3 linked regions of the Oryctolagus cuniculus genome follow. The protein of the gene in region 2 purifies or fractionates together with the protein of the main gene of each other region. This does not show direct contact. Links are inferred from orthologs where the notes say so. Each region holds a gene or a part of one and is shown on either strand. Other genes may lie near its edges.

Region 1 (3,747 bases), on a different chromosome or scaffold from region 2:
TTAGTGCCCATTTTCTTGGTCTGTTGGAAAACATAAGATAACAAATAACAGTACACTTGGAAAGTCATTGGGAAAATTAAAAGAGTTAATGCATGTGAAGTGCTATGAAAAGAGCCTGCAGCAGCAAGTGTTTACTTGTTAGTTACGGCTATTTTTACCAACATACTTCCCAAGGCTAACTTGTAGTTCCACTTATTTCCTGAGGGTTCTGACTTCCAAGTCTGTCACAGATCTTTGTCTTATCCTTTCATCTACATACGAGGCCAACTCCATCTCTATGTATTTCACCTCAAGGGAAAGAAACCAGCTACCTAAAATAGGATATTCCATCCCAAGCTAGATGCTCTTTACATATTATTTGTTAAAGTACAGCAGTCACACTGGTAACCCAAGAATCATCTTTTCTTACCACAAAGATTGAAATAAAGAAAAAGATCTGTTTTTCCTTCTTCTTCATAAAGGTAATGCTTGTTCAATATAGAAAACACGGAAAATCCAAAACGGATAAAGATTACTCAGGGTCGGTGCTGTGGAGTAGCCGGTAAAGCCGCTGCCTGCAGTGCCGGCATCCCATATGGACACTGGTTCATGTTCTGGCAGCTCCACTTCCGATCCAGCTCTCTGCTGTGGCCTGGGAGAGCAGTGGAAGATGGCCCAAGTCCTTGGGCCCTGCACCCCATGGGAGACCAGGAGAAGCACCTGGCTCCTGGCTTCGGATCAGTGCTGTGCGCCGGCCACGGCGGCCATTGGAGGGTGAACCAACGGCAAAAGAAGACCTTTCTCTCTGTCTCTCTCACTGTCCACTCTGCCTGTCAAAAAAAAAAAAAAAAAAAAAAAAAAAAGGAAAGAAAGAAAAAAGGATTAGTACTATCAAGAATTCGATGTGTCCTGTCCTTCGGCCACTGAAATGTAAGTTGCAATCCGCCAAAAAATAGTATTTGTGGCCTATCTTTTTAAACGCATACGTTTTAAAATAAGTGCTTCGTATTCACATGTGTCCCACACGATGTACTTTAGCCAATCACCTCCAGGATTGCGCCAATTTACAGGCTCAACCAAAATGGCCCGACATCTTTTTCCTTCCACAACATCACGTGATTTTAACTAAGGCCAAACACGGAACGCTCTTAGGAACCCACGAGGTAAAACGTTATCTCGCGGCGGTGAACACCGGGCTCTCCGCCGCAAGCAGGAGAATCGGCCTCAGATTCGGCCACCCCGGCTGCGCCCGCTCGGGTAGAGCCCTCGGCCGGCAGTTCTAGGCGGGAGCGCCGCACTCGATGGCGTGGCGCACAGCGATGACGCAGCACGCACGCACGCCGCCCCGCCCCCTCCGCCGGCGACTGCGCTGCGTCACGGGTTTTCAAGCGCTTCGCTGCTGGACCCTGCGACCGCAGCGGGGCCTAACGCCTGCCGGCCGCTCGCCGGGAGTCCGGTCGGCGGCGCGATGAGGCGCAGCAAGGCCGACGTGGAGCGGTATATCGCTTCGGTGCAGGGCTCCGCCCCGTCGCCGCGAGAGGTGAGTCGTGTCCGGAGAGGCCGGGCCCTGGCCCAGCGGCGGCGCCGGCGCCATGGCTCCCGGCGCCAACCGCTCCCTGGCGCGTGCGGCGGAGGTCCGGGGCGGCTCGCCCTGCCCTGTGGGCGGCGCGGCGCTCGGGAGCGCTCGGGGAGGGGCGTGGGGGCGCGGGGGACGTCGGCGTTGCCTGCTTCCTGGGGCGGGGCGGGGGGCCTTCGTCCTCGTCAGGCCTGTTCCGTGCGGCCCGCGCTGCCCGGGCCCCCGGCTGGCGCCTCGGGCGGGCTCTGCCGTCCCGCTGCGGCCGCCTCTGGGCAGGGCGGCTGTTGGAACGCGGCGGGCTGTCCCCGCTGTGACGCTGCCGCGGCCGGGCAGGCGCCCTGGACTGCGGCCCGAGCGCGGGTGACCACGCGCAGTCCTCTCAGCCCCGCACGCCGAGCAAGCTGCTGTTTTATTTGCGGCCGCTTCCCCTTTACAGACGGGGTGCTCTGAGCTCAGAGTTTGCAAGTCTTTTTCCCGACAGCCAGTTCTGAGCACGTTTCTCCCTCCTGGATTACTTGGAGGCGGCGGCGGGGAGTGGGGCAGGTTACCACCGGTGGGCGCGCGCCGGCTCGTTGGTCTGCCTGCAGTTGAGTAGTTGCGACCCTGCCCTGGCAGACGCAGGTGGAGAGCGCGTTGAGTATCCCATCTGTAAAGCGGGCTTGATGAGGTGCGTGGTCGGTGCCCAACACCTCCAACGACGCCTGGCACGCCGTCAGCCCTACATGGGCGTCAGCTGCATCTCCTGGCGCTGGTGGTGTTGATGTTGGAAGTGAAGGTCTAGACGGCTGCTTCTGCATGGACGTGCGGGAAACGAGAAGTCTGTGTTGGGTGCAGAAAAGTTGTAAAGTTTTTGTATGGTTTTTTCCATAACACGCATTTCCCACGAACTTTGAGTTCTCATATTAGTGGTTGATCATGATTACAGTGCAACATAACGTGCCTTGTATCGTAGCCTAGTTATCTTACTTTATGCTCCAATAACTAAATACTGAGTCCTGCAGACGGGGAAGGTACTTGTCCAGGGCCAAGTGGATGGCTCAGCAGGGTGTTGGCAGTGGGTCTGATTGGCTTTTTTAGGAATAGTGTAACGGCCTATAGTCTGTCTCTCTGGAGAAGACACATAGGTTCCTACGTGCAGATGCCATTTCAAATCGCTGGCATAGTTTTTGTTTAAAGATTTATTCATTTATTTGAAAGGCAGAGTTGGTGGGGGCTGGGGACTCGAAGAGAGAGAGCTTCAATCCGCTGCTTCGTTCCCCAAATGGCTGTAAGGGGCAGAGCTGGGCTGTTCTGAGCCAGCAGCCGGGGCTTCTTCCGGGTCTCCTGTGTGGGTTCAGGGTCCCAAGCACTTGGGCCGTCCTCCGCTGCTTTCCCAGGCCCATTAGCAGGGAGCTGGATTGGAAGTGGAGCAGGTGGGACTATACCAGCTGCTGCCCATATGGGATGCTGGCACTGCAGACAGTGGCTTTACCTGCTGTATCACAGACCTGCCCCTGCATAGTCTTAAGTATGAATGTGTTAATAGTGTTAGAACCTTGTTGAAGGTTTCTGTAACTCCTAAGACTGGTATACTTTTTTTTTTGTTCTTATTTTTTGAAGCAAGTTTAGCATCTCCATAAGATTTTTTTTTTAAGATTTATTTATTTATTTGAAAGAGTTACAGAAGGAGAGGCAGAGAGAGGTTCTCCCTCCGCTGGTTCACTCACCAATTGGCCACAATGGCTGGAGCTGTGCCGATCTGAACCAGAAGCCAGGAGCTTCTTCAGGGTCTCCCATGTGGGTGCAGGGGCCCAAGGACTTGGGCCATCTTCCATTGCTTACCCAGGCCACAGCCGAGAGCTGGATCAGAAGTGGAGCAGCCAGGACTCGAACCGGTGCCCATATGAGATGCCGGCACTGCAGGCAGCGGCTTTGGCCCCCCTCCATGAGATTCTTAGTGGGGACCTTGGCTCTCAAATGTTAAGAAGCTGCCGCCTGTAGTTGCAGCCAATTGGGAAGTGAACCAGCAGATGGAAGACCTCTCTCTCTGCTTCTCTTTCTCTCTGTGTAACTCTTTCAAAGAAATTAAAAAACAAAAAACAAACAAACAAAAAAAACACGGTTTGAGACAGAAGGTAGAGTATTTCTACTATATAATTTCTGTCAGATAAAGAGGATTAGTTATGGCCACCTCTCAAACTTGAAGAATATTG
Region 2 (3,647 bases):
AAAAACTATGCTGTGACAGGTATGCAAGCATGAAATAGTAACATATTAGGGATTTGCTTTAAAAACTAGGAAAAAAGGGGAGGAGGAGGAAGGTATGGAACAGATCAAAATCTAGTAGCTGTGCTGGTAACTACTGACAACGGATGACGAACACGTGGGGAGTCACGGCACACTTCTCTCTGCCTTTGGGTAAAGTTGAAAACATCCATGAAGTTTTTTGTTTTTAAAAAAAGCTGTAAGTTCAAAATTAAACTGAAAAGTAATCCTTAAAAAACCCCAGTATTATATTAATATAGCCCAAAGAACAAAATAAACAATCCTTGAGTTCATTACTGACATAAATAAGCAAACAAGGAGAGGGCCAGCTCTTCCTTAGAGGGCCAACTAGTGAAACGCAGGAGCAGGGAAAAGAAAGAGCACGAGAACACAGTGAGCACTGCTGCAGGCAGGCCCCGCCGTGGGCGCTAAACTCGGCACGGGACACTGAGCCTAGCAGTCATACATCGGTTAGGACACCTGCGTGTCACCTGACTCACCACTTCCTGCTAATGCAGACCCTCCGAGGCACTGGCAATGGCTCAAGTAACTGGGTCCCTGCCACTGACATGGGAGGCCTGGACCGAGCTCCTGGCTCCAGCCTTAGCTCAGACCCAGCTGTTGCAGGCATTTGGGCAACAAACCAGTGGATGAGAGCTTTCTCTCTCTCAGATAAAAATAAGAGAAACCCATCAGATGCCACGGTAACCAAGTGATCACAGTTAATAAACACCACCACTAACAAGAGAAAAAAAAAATCAATGTGTACCCCTGATAGACTACATGGAGCCGGCGCCGCGGCTCACTAGGCTAATCCTCCACCTGTGGTGCTGGCACCCCAGGTTCTAGTCCCGGCTGGGGTGCTGGATTCTGTCCTGGTTGCTCCTCTTCCTGTCCAGCTCTCTGCTGTGGCCCGGGAGTACAGTGGAGGATGGCCCAGGTCCTTGGGCCCTGCACCCGCATGGGAGACCAGGAGGAAGCACCTGGCTCCTGGCTTTGGATCGGTGCAGCGCACCGGCCGTAGTGGCCATTTGGGGGGTGAACCAATGGAAGGAAGACCTTTCTCTCTAACTCTGCCTGTCCAAAAAAAAAAAAAAAAACCCACGAAACAAACCAGAGTCCACGGAGAAGGGCGCATCACTTCTGCTGCACTCCCCCAAAGTCTAGAACCTCAGTGTGAGCGCGAGGAACTCCAAATCCACAGAAAGAGCGGAAGTGGAAAACCTGACGAGGGCCCAAGACAGCCTGGAGTGTGAAACTACCGGGGCCGACGCTGAGGGGGAGCAGTGAAGCTGCCGCCTGCTCCACCTCCTATCCAGCTCTCTGCTATAGCCTGGGAAGGTGGTGGAAGATGGCCTGAGCCCTTGGGCCCCTGCACCCGCGTGGGAGACCCGGGAAGCGGGGAGCTCCTGGCTTTGCATCGGTACAGCTCCGGCCATTGTGGCCAACTGGAGAGTGAAGCAGCAGATGGAAGACCTCTCTCTCTCTCTCTCTCTCTCTGCCTCTCCTTCTCTCTCTCTGCATAACTCTAACTTTCAAGTAAAACAAATAAATCTTAAAAAAAAATTTACAAAGTGAAAAGTAGAATTCAAAAAAGAAAAAGAAAAGATACTGCCCTGTGTTTTAGTCCTTCTCTGTGGTTACACAACACGCTGATGCGCGGGAAGCCAAGGGAAGGGTATATGGGAACTCTCTCTGCAATTGCTATTATCTTTTAGAATTTCTGTATAAGCCTAAAGTTATTCTACAATAAAATTCTAGAAAGTAATCCCTAAATATTGAAAACTAACAAACAAATGAACTTAAGTTGTCTATCAAACTGAGATACACCTAGAGGAAGTATTTCAAGCTACTTTAAAAAAAAAAAACAAAACAACATATCTTTGGAGCCAGCACTGTGGCGTGGCGGGTTAAGCTGCAGCCTGCAGTGCCGACATCCCATATGGGCGCTGGTTCTAGTCCCAGCTGCTCCACTTCCGATCCAGCTCCCTGATATTGCACCTGGGAAAGCAGTGGAAGATGGCCTAAGTCCTCAGGCCCCAGTACCCACATGGGAGACTCAGATGAACCTCCTGGCTCCTGGCTTCGGCCTGGCCCAACCCTGGCCATGGCAGCCATCTGGGGAGTGAACAAGCTGATGGAAGATCTCTCTCTCCTCCTGTAACTCTTTCAAATAAAATAAATAAGTCTATATTTTAAAAAGAAGATTGCTCTAAAACTATATTGTATCCATGTTAAATTTCTTGAGCTTGATAACTGTTATGCACTGTGGTTATATAAAATAATCTTTGTTTTTAGGAAATACACACTGAAGTATTAAGGGTAAGAATGGAATACTTACATACACAACTTACTTTTAAACAATTCTGTGTGCATGCAATGCAAATGAATGATGTCTTCAAAAAGTTAATGGAAAAACCTGTATTATGAAAAACTACAGGTTCAACTTCGCACCAAAATAAACTTCTAATTCCATTTTTTTCCCATTAACTTTTTGAAGTACCCTCATGTGCAGTATACGTGGGAGGTAGAGGAAGAAGATAAAAGTAAATGTAAAAAAAAAATGGCAACTGGTGGATCTAGGGAACAGGGTAGACGGAAGAGGAGCTTCCTGTTTGTTCTTCCACCTTTTTTTAACCTTGAAATAATAGCAAAATAAAATGCTACGAAAAAGGGAATCGCAAACATTATCATACACCCAGATGTCCCCCTTTAAAGTAAGTATTTCCTGACTCTGTCCTATAGAAGAGACCCAGAGGAAATGACAACCTAGGTAATGGCACGTGACGTTAGATTTTCCTAAGAAAATCGAAGCCGCATACTGAAGTTATGGGTACAATGGCAAGATGTCTGAGGTTAACTTTAAGAATATATCAGAGAAACAGGGAAGGCTCCGCAGGGCAGGTGTGACTGCTCAGATGGTGGGGACCTGGAGGCTCCCACAGCCTGCTCAGGGTGTGTATTTGAAACTGTTCCTGTCTCCTTCAATGAAGCATGAAGAAGTGATATTAGGGGCCTCGGTTCTCTCTGGGGTTCTGTGTCTGACCCTCCCCTTGCTTTACCTTTATTAAGGACGGTGAGAGGCTTCCGGCTGCTGGGGTCCAGGCTGCTGGGAGCGATTGAGAACCTGGGTGGAATGGTGAGGCAAGTGATGGGCAGCCGGGCAGGGATGTAGCCGGAAGTGAAGAACTCGTCACTGAGCAGCTCGTTAATGGTCGGGCGGGCAGAGGGGTCTGTCTGCAGCATCTTCTGGATGAGGGACGCAGCCACAGGGTTGATGTGCTGGAGCAGAGACAGAGAAAGCCCTGAGCCGGGCGTGGCCGTGGACTGGGACAGCAGTGCTGTCATAGCGGGACCACAGCCCACAGGGCAGCTCCGGGTCTCAAGTAAGCCATGGTTCCACAACTAAGAACATCGCCAAGCTCCCCCTTATCGACCTCACGGAGCTGACGAGTGAGAAGGATCACGTTTCTTCCCTCTTGGAACTCCAGATTAAGCTGTTTTCCCCCAGACTTGCCCTTGCACACCTAAAGTTGCTCGTCTCCACTGCAGCGCCTTGAGGACACAGGCTTTGAGGTCTTGCACCTGTTTAAACACCGTTTTGCCCTCAT
Region 3 (3,747 bases), on a different chromosome or scaffold from region 2:
CGCCGGATTCTGTCCCGGTTGCCCCTCTTCCAGGCCAGCCCTCTGCTGTGGCCAGGGAGTGCAGTGGAGGATGGCCCAGGTGCTTGGGACCTGCACCCCATGGGAGACCAGGAAAAGCACCTGGCTCCTGGTTCCTGCCATCGGATCAGCGCGGTGCACCGGCCGCAGCGCGCCGGCCGCGGCGGCCATTGGAGGGTGAACCAACGGCAAAAGGAAGACCTTTCTCTCTGTCTCTCTCTCTCACTGTCCACTCTGCCTGTCAAAAAAAATAAAATAAAATAAAATAAAAAAATAAAAATGTAAAAGAGAATTACTATATGTTCCAAGAATTCCACTTCTCCATATACATCCAAAAAAACTGAAAGCACAATCTCAAAAAAATTATTCACAAGGGCAATTCAAACAGTTTGTGGAAAAACTGAATTAAAAGATAAGCTCATTTTAGTGCAAAAAAATTTTGAAATCATATAAAGGTGATCTTCAGTTGGAGTTTGTGAACTCAAGAGGCTTCCATAGCCTTGGCAGCTCATGACAAGAGCCTCAGGTGATTACTGACATCATAAATAAGAGTGTCAATTGTTAAATCAACAACAGAAGTCACTGTGCACTTACTCCCCATGTGGGATCTCTGTCCTTAATGTGTTGTACTATGCGAATTAACAGTATAACTAGTACTCCAACAGTACTTTATACTTTGTGTGTCTGTGTGGGTGCAGTCTGTTGAAATCTTTACTTAGTATATACTAAGTTGATCTTCTGTATATAAAGATAATTAAAAATGAATCTTAATGAAGAATGGGATGGGAGAGGGAGTAGGAGATGGGATGGTTTGTGGGTGGGAGGGTGGTTATGGGGGGAAAAACTGCTATAATACAAAAGTTGTACTTTAGAAATTTATATTTATTAAATAAAAGTTTTCTAAAAAATAATATCAACGTATCCTAATGACTGAAAAAAGGTGATATTCAAAAAGTTCATAAAGCATGTTTATTATGAAATAACTATGTGTGGATTTCAAAAACTTCTGCAGCAAAATAAACTCATCTTTTGGTTCTATTTTCTGTGAACTTTTTGGAGTTTCCTCATACGTGCCCATGTTCATAGCAGCAGTATTCACAACTGCCAAGAGATAGAGGCAACCCAAGTAAGCTTAACAGACACACAAACAAAGTGTGGTATATACTCATTTTTTTTTTTTTGACAGGCAGAGTGGACAGTGAGAGAGAGAGAGACACAGAGAGAAAGGTCTTCCTTTTGCCGTTGGTTCACCCTCCAATGGCCGCACACCGTGCTGATCCGAAGCCAGGAGCCAGGTGCTTTTCCTGGTCTCCCATGGGGTGCAGGGCCCAAGCACCTGGGCCATCCTCCACTGCACTCCCTGGCCACAGCAGAGGGCTGGCCTGGAAGAGGGGCAACCGGGACAGAATCCGGCGCCCGGACCGGGACTAGAACCTGGTGTGCCGGCGCCGCAAGGCGGAGGATTAGCCTAGTGAGCCGCGGCGCCAGCCTATACTCAGTCTTAAAAGTGAAATCCTGTTACATGATACAAGAACTCTATGCTAAGTGAAATAAGCCAAGCACAGAGACAAATCCTGCAATGGTTCCATTTATATAATGAATATAAAATGGTCAAATGCATACAAACAGAAGAATGGTGGTTGTCAAGGGCTGGGGAAGGAGGAAGTAGAGTTATTTAATGGGTACAGTTGCTCTTTTGCAAAATTAAAGTTCTGGAGATGGGTGGTGGCAATGATTGTACAATAATGTAAATGTAACACCAATGGTGTTAAATGTAATACCAATGAAATCGTGAAGATGGTAAAGTTTATGTGTAGTTTAGCACAATTTTAAAAACTCTTAAATGCTCATCCCCACATCACGATGCTCCTCCCCTTAGCCATCTTGTGAATACTTAATCATTTTTCAACATACCGCTCAAATATTTCCTCCTCTAACCCTTGTAGTCGGTAACCTCTTTTATTACAACACTGTGCTCCGCACTTCACACGTCTTACAGCACTTACTGAACATTATAGCAATTATTGATTTGCCGCTCAGTTTCCACTACAAGATTATAAGCAATCTGGGGGCAAGGCCGGTGTTTTCCTAGGCCTGGGGCTTGGTAGTCTGGAAAGATTCTAGCTCTGAAAGGGCTCGGACTGGAGGATTAGTTGACCAGAAGAGGGGGCCCTGAGGGTTCCCCAAGCTTTAGAAGTCTGACCCATATCCAGAGCTGATTCTCAGGCCCGCACTAATCACAAGGCTCTGCCTTAGCAGTTTGGGCCCCCAAGAGGGTCCAAGAGCCACTCCGCTCACCCCCCACCCCCACCCCGCCACCGGCACTCCGAGACAGGGCCTGCGAGCTAGATCCGCCTGGCAGTCCAAACATACCTCAAGTAACGAGCAGCCTGCTCCGGGCTCAAGGCTTCGGCTTCCGCAAATCCACGGGACGGCTCCATGACCGGGTTGTTCAACGTATCTCGGCGGGAGCTTGAATTTCGCTCGCTCCCGCCCCGCGCATGCGCTGTGCGCATACCAATGAGGCACGGCCAACTGTCGGTCTTGCGGCCAGCCAGTCCGCGGCCCCGCGTTCCAGCCCCACGGCCTGAGTCCCGCCCACAAAGGTCTTGCGCCTGCGCCTACGCTCGCTGGAGGCTGCGTTTGCGGCGCGGGTTAGATTACGTCATCCTGTCGCCTTTCCAACTCCGTTCAAGTTGTGCTTCAGTGAATTCGTGTGTAATATCCTTATGAGTAGAGAGACTGCCTGATACGCTGTCAGTGTAGTGGCCCCTGGAGACCTCCACCTCCTGCGCACCCCAAACCTGCATCTCCAGATACCCTCCTTTTCCTGCTCGCCGATGCCTGACACAGAGTCTGCTTTGAATTAAACACCCTGGGAGGCGTAGTTCCCATGACTTAAACTCACATCGAAAAAGCATCTTAGAACTAAGCTGTGGCGTAGCGGGTGGGGCCGCCGCCTGCAACGCCGGCATCCGATATGGGCGTCGCTTCAAGTCCCGGCTGCTCCACTTCTGATTCAGTTCTCTGCTGTGGCCTGAGAAAGCAGAAGATGGCCCAAGTCCTTGGGCCCTTGCACCCGTGTGGGAGACCCAGAAGAATCTCCTGGCTTCGGATAGGCACAGCTCCAGCCATTTTGGCCTCTCCCCTCTGTATGTAACTCTGACTTTCAAATAAATAAATCTTTTTTAAAAAATTTAAAAACTAAGCCAAAGCTTTCATTTAAGAAGTAAGTAGGGGTGGACATTTGTAGTAGTGGTTAAGACCCTAATTGGGAGGCAGGTGCTGTGATGTAGCTGGTAAAGCTGCTGTCTGCTGCAGTGCATCCTATATGGGCAGTGGTTGGAGTCCTCACTACTCCACTTTTTTTTTTTTTTTTTGGACAGGCAGAGTGCACAGTGAGAGAGGCAGAGATAAAGGTCTTCCTTTTTTTGCCGTTGGTTCACCCTCCAATGGCCGCCGCAGCCGGCGCGCTGTGGCCGGCGCACCGCGCTGATCCGAAGCCAGGAGCCAGGTGCTTCTCCTGGTCTCCCATGGGGTGCAGGGCCCAAGCACTTGGGCCATCCTCCACTGCACTCCCGGGCCATAGCAGAGAGCTGGCCTGGAAGAGGGGCAACCGGGACAGAATCCGGCACCCGGACCGGGACTAGAACCTGGTGTGCTGGCGCCGCTAGGTGGAGGATTAGCCTAGTGAGCCACGGCGCCGGCCTACTCCACTTCTGATCCAGC

What was found.
Region 1: the proteins of PLK1 (region 2) and E3 SUMO-protein ligase RanBP2 purify together in Homo sapiens (affinity purification with mass spectrometry; 3 studies listed by BioGRID and IntAct, with this or other methods). This does not show direct contact. The link is inferred for Oryctolagus cuniculus from reciprocal best matches to the Homo sapiens genes PLK1 and RANBP2.
Region 3: the proteins of PLK1 (region 2) and ERCC6L purify together in Homo sapiens (affinity purification with mass spectrometry; 9 studies listed by BioGRID and IntAct, counting the BioPlex papers as one, with this or other methods). This does not show direct contact. The link is inferred for Oryctolagus cuniculus from reciprocal best matches to the Homo sapiens genes PLK1 and ERCC6L.

The regions. Positions count from the first base shown.
Region 1 is NC_091433.1:100,113,264-100,117,010, reverse strand, and holds the start of E3 SUMO-protein ligase RanBP2, read left to right. Parts: upstream 1-1,309; 5' UTR 1,310-1,447; coding exon 1,448-1,519; intron 1,520-2,111; exon of another isoform or gene 2,112-2,222; intron 2,223-3,747. UniProt on the Homo sapiens protein: E3 SUMO-protein ligase which facilitates SUMO1 and SUMO2 conjugation by UBE2I. Involved in transport factor (Ran-GTP, karyopherin)-mediated protein import via the F-G repeat-containing domain which acts as a docking site for substrates.
Region 2 is NC_091450.1:15,668,574-15,672,220, forward strand, and holds part of PLK1 (serine/threonine-protein kinase PLK1), read right to left. Parts: intron 3,319-3,647; coding exon 3,099-3,318; intron 1-3,098. UniProt on the Homo sapiens protein: Serine/threonine-protein kinase that performs several important functions throughout M phase of the cell cycle, including the regulation of centrosome maturation and spindle assembly, the removal of cohesins from chromosome arms, the inactivation of anaphase-promoting complex/cyclosome (APC/C) inhibitors, and the regulation of mitotic exit and cytokinesis.
Region 3 is NC_091453.1:52,294,934-52,298,680, forward strand, and holds the start of ERCC6L (DNA excision repair protein ERCC-6-like), read right to left. Parts: upstream 2,552-3,747; 5' UTR 2,535-2,551; coding exon 2,392-2,534; intron 1-2,391. UniProt on the Homo sapiens protein: DNA helicase that acts as a tension sensor that associates with catenated DNA which is stretched under tension until it is resolved during anaphase. Functions as ATP-dependent DNA translocase. Can promote Holliday junction branch migration (in vitro).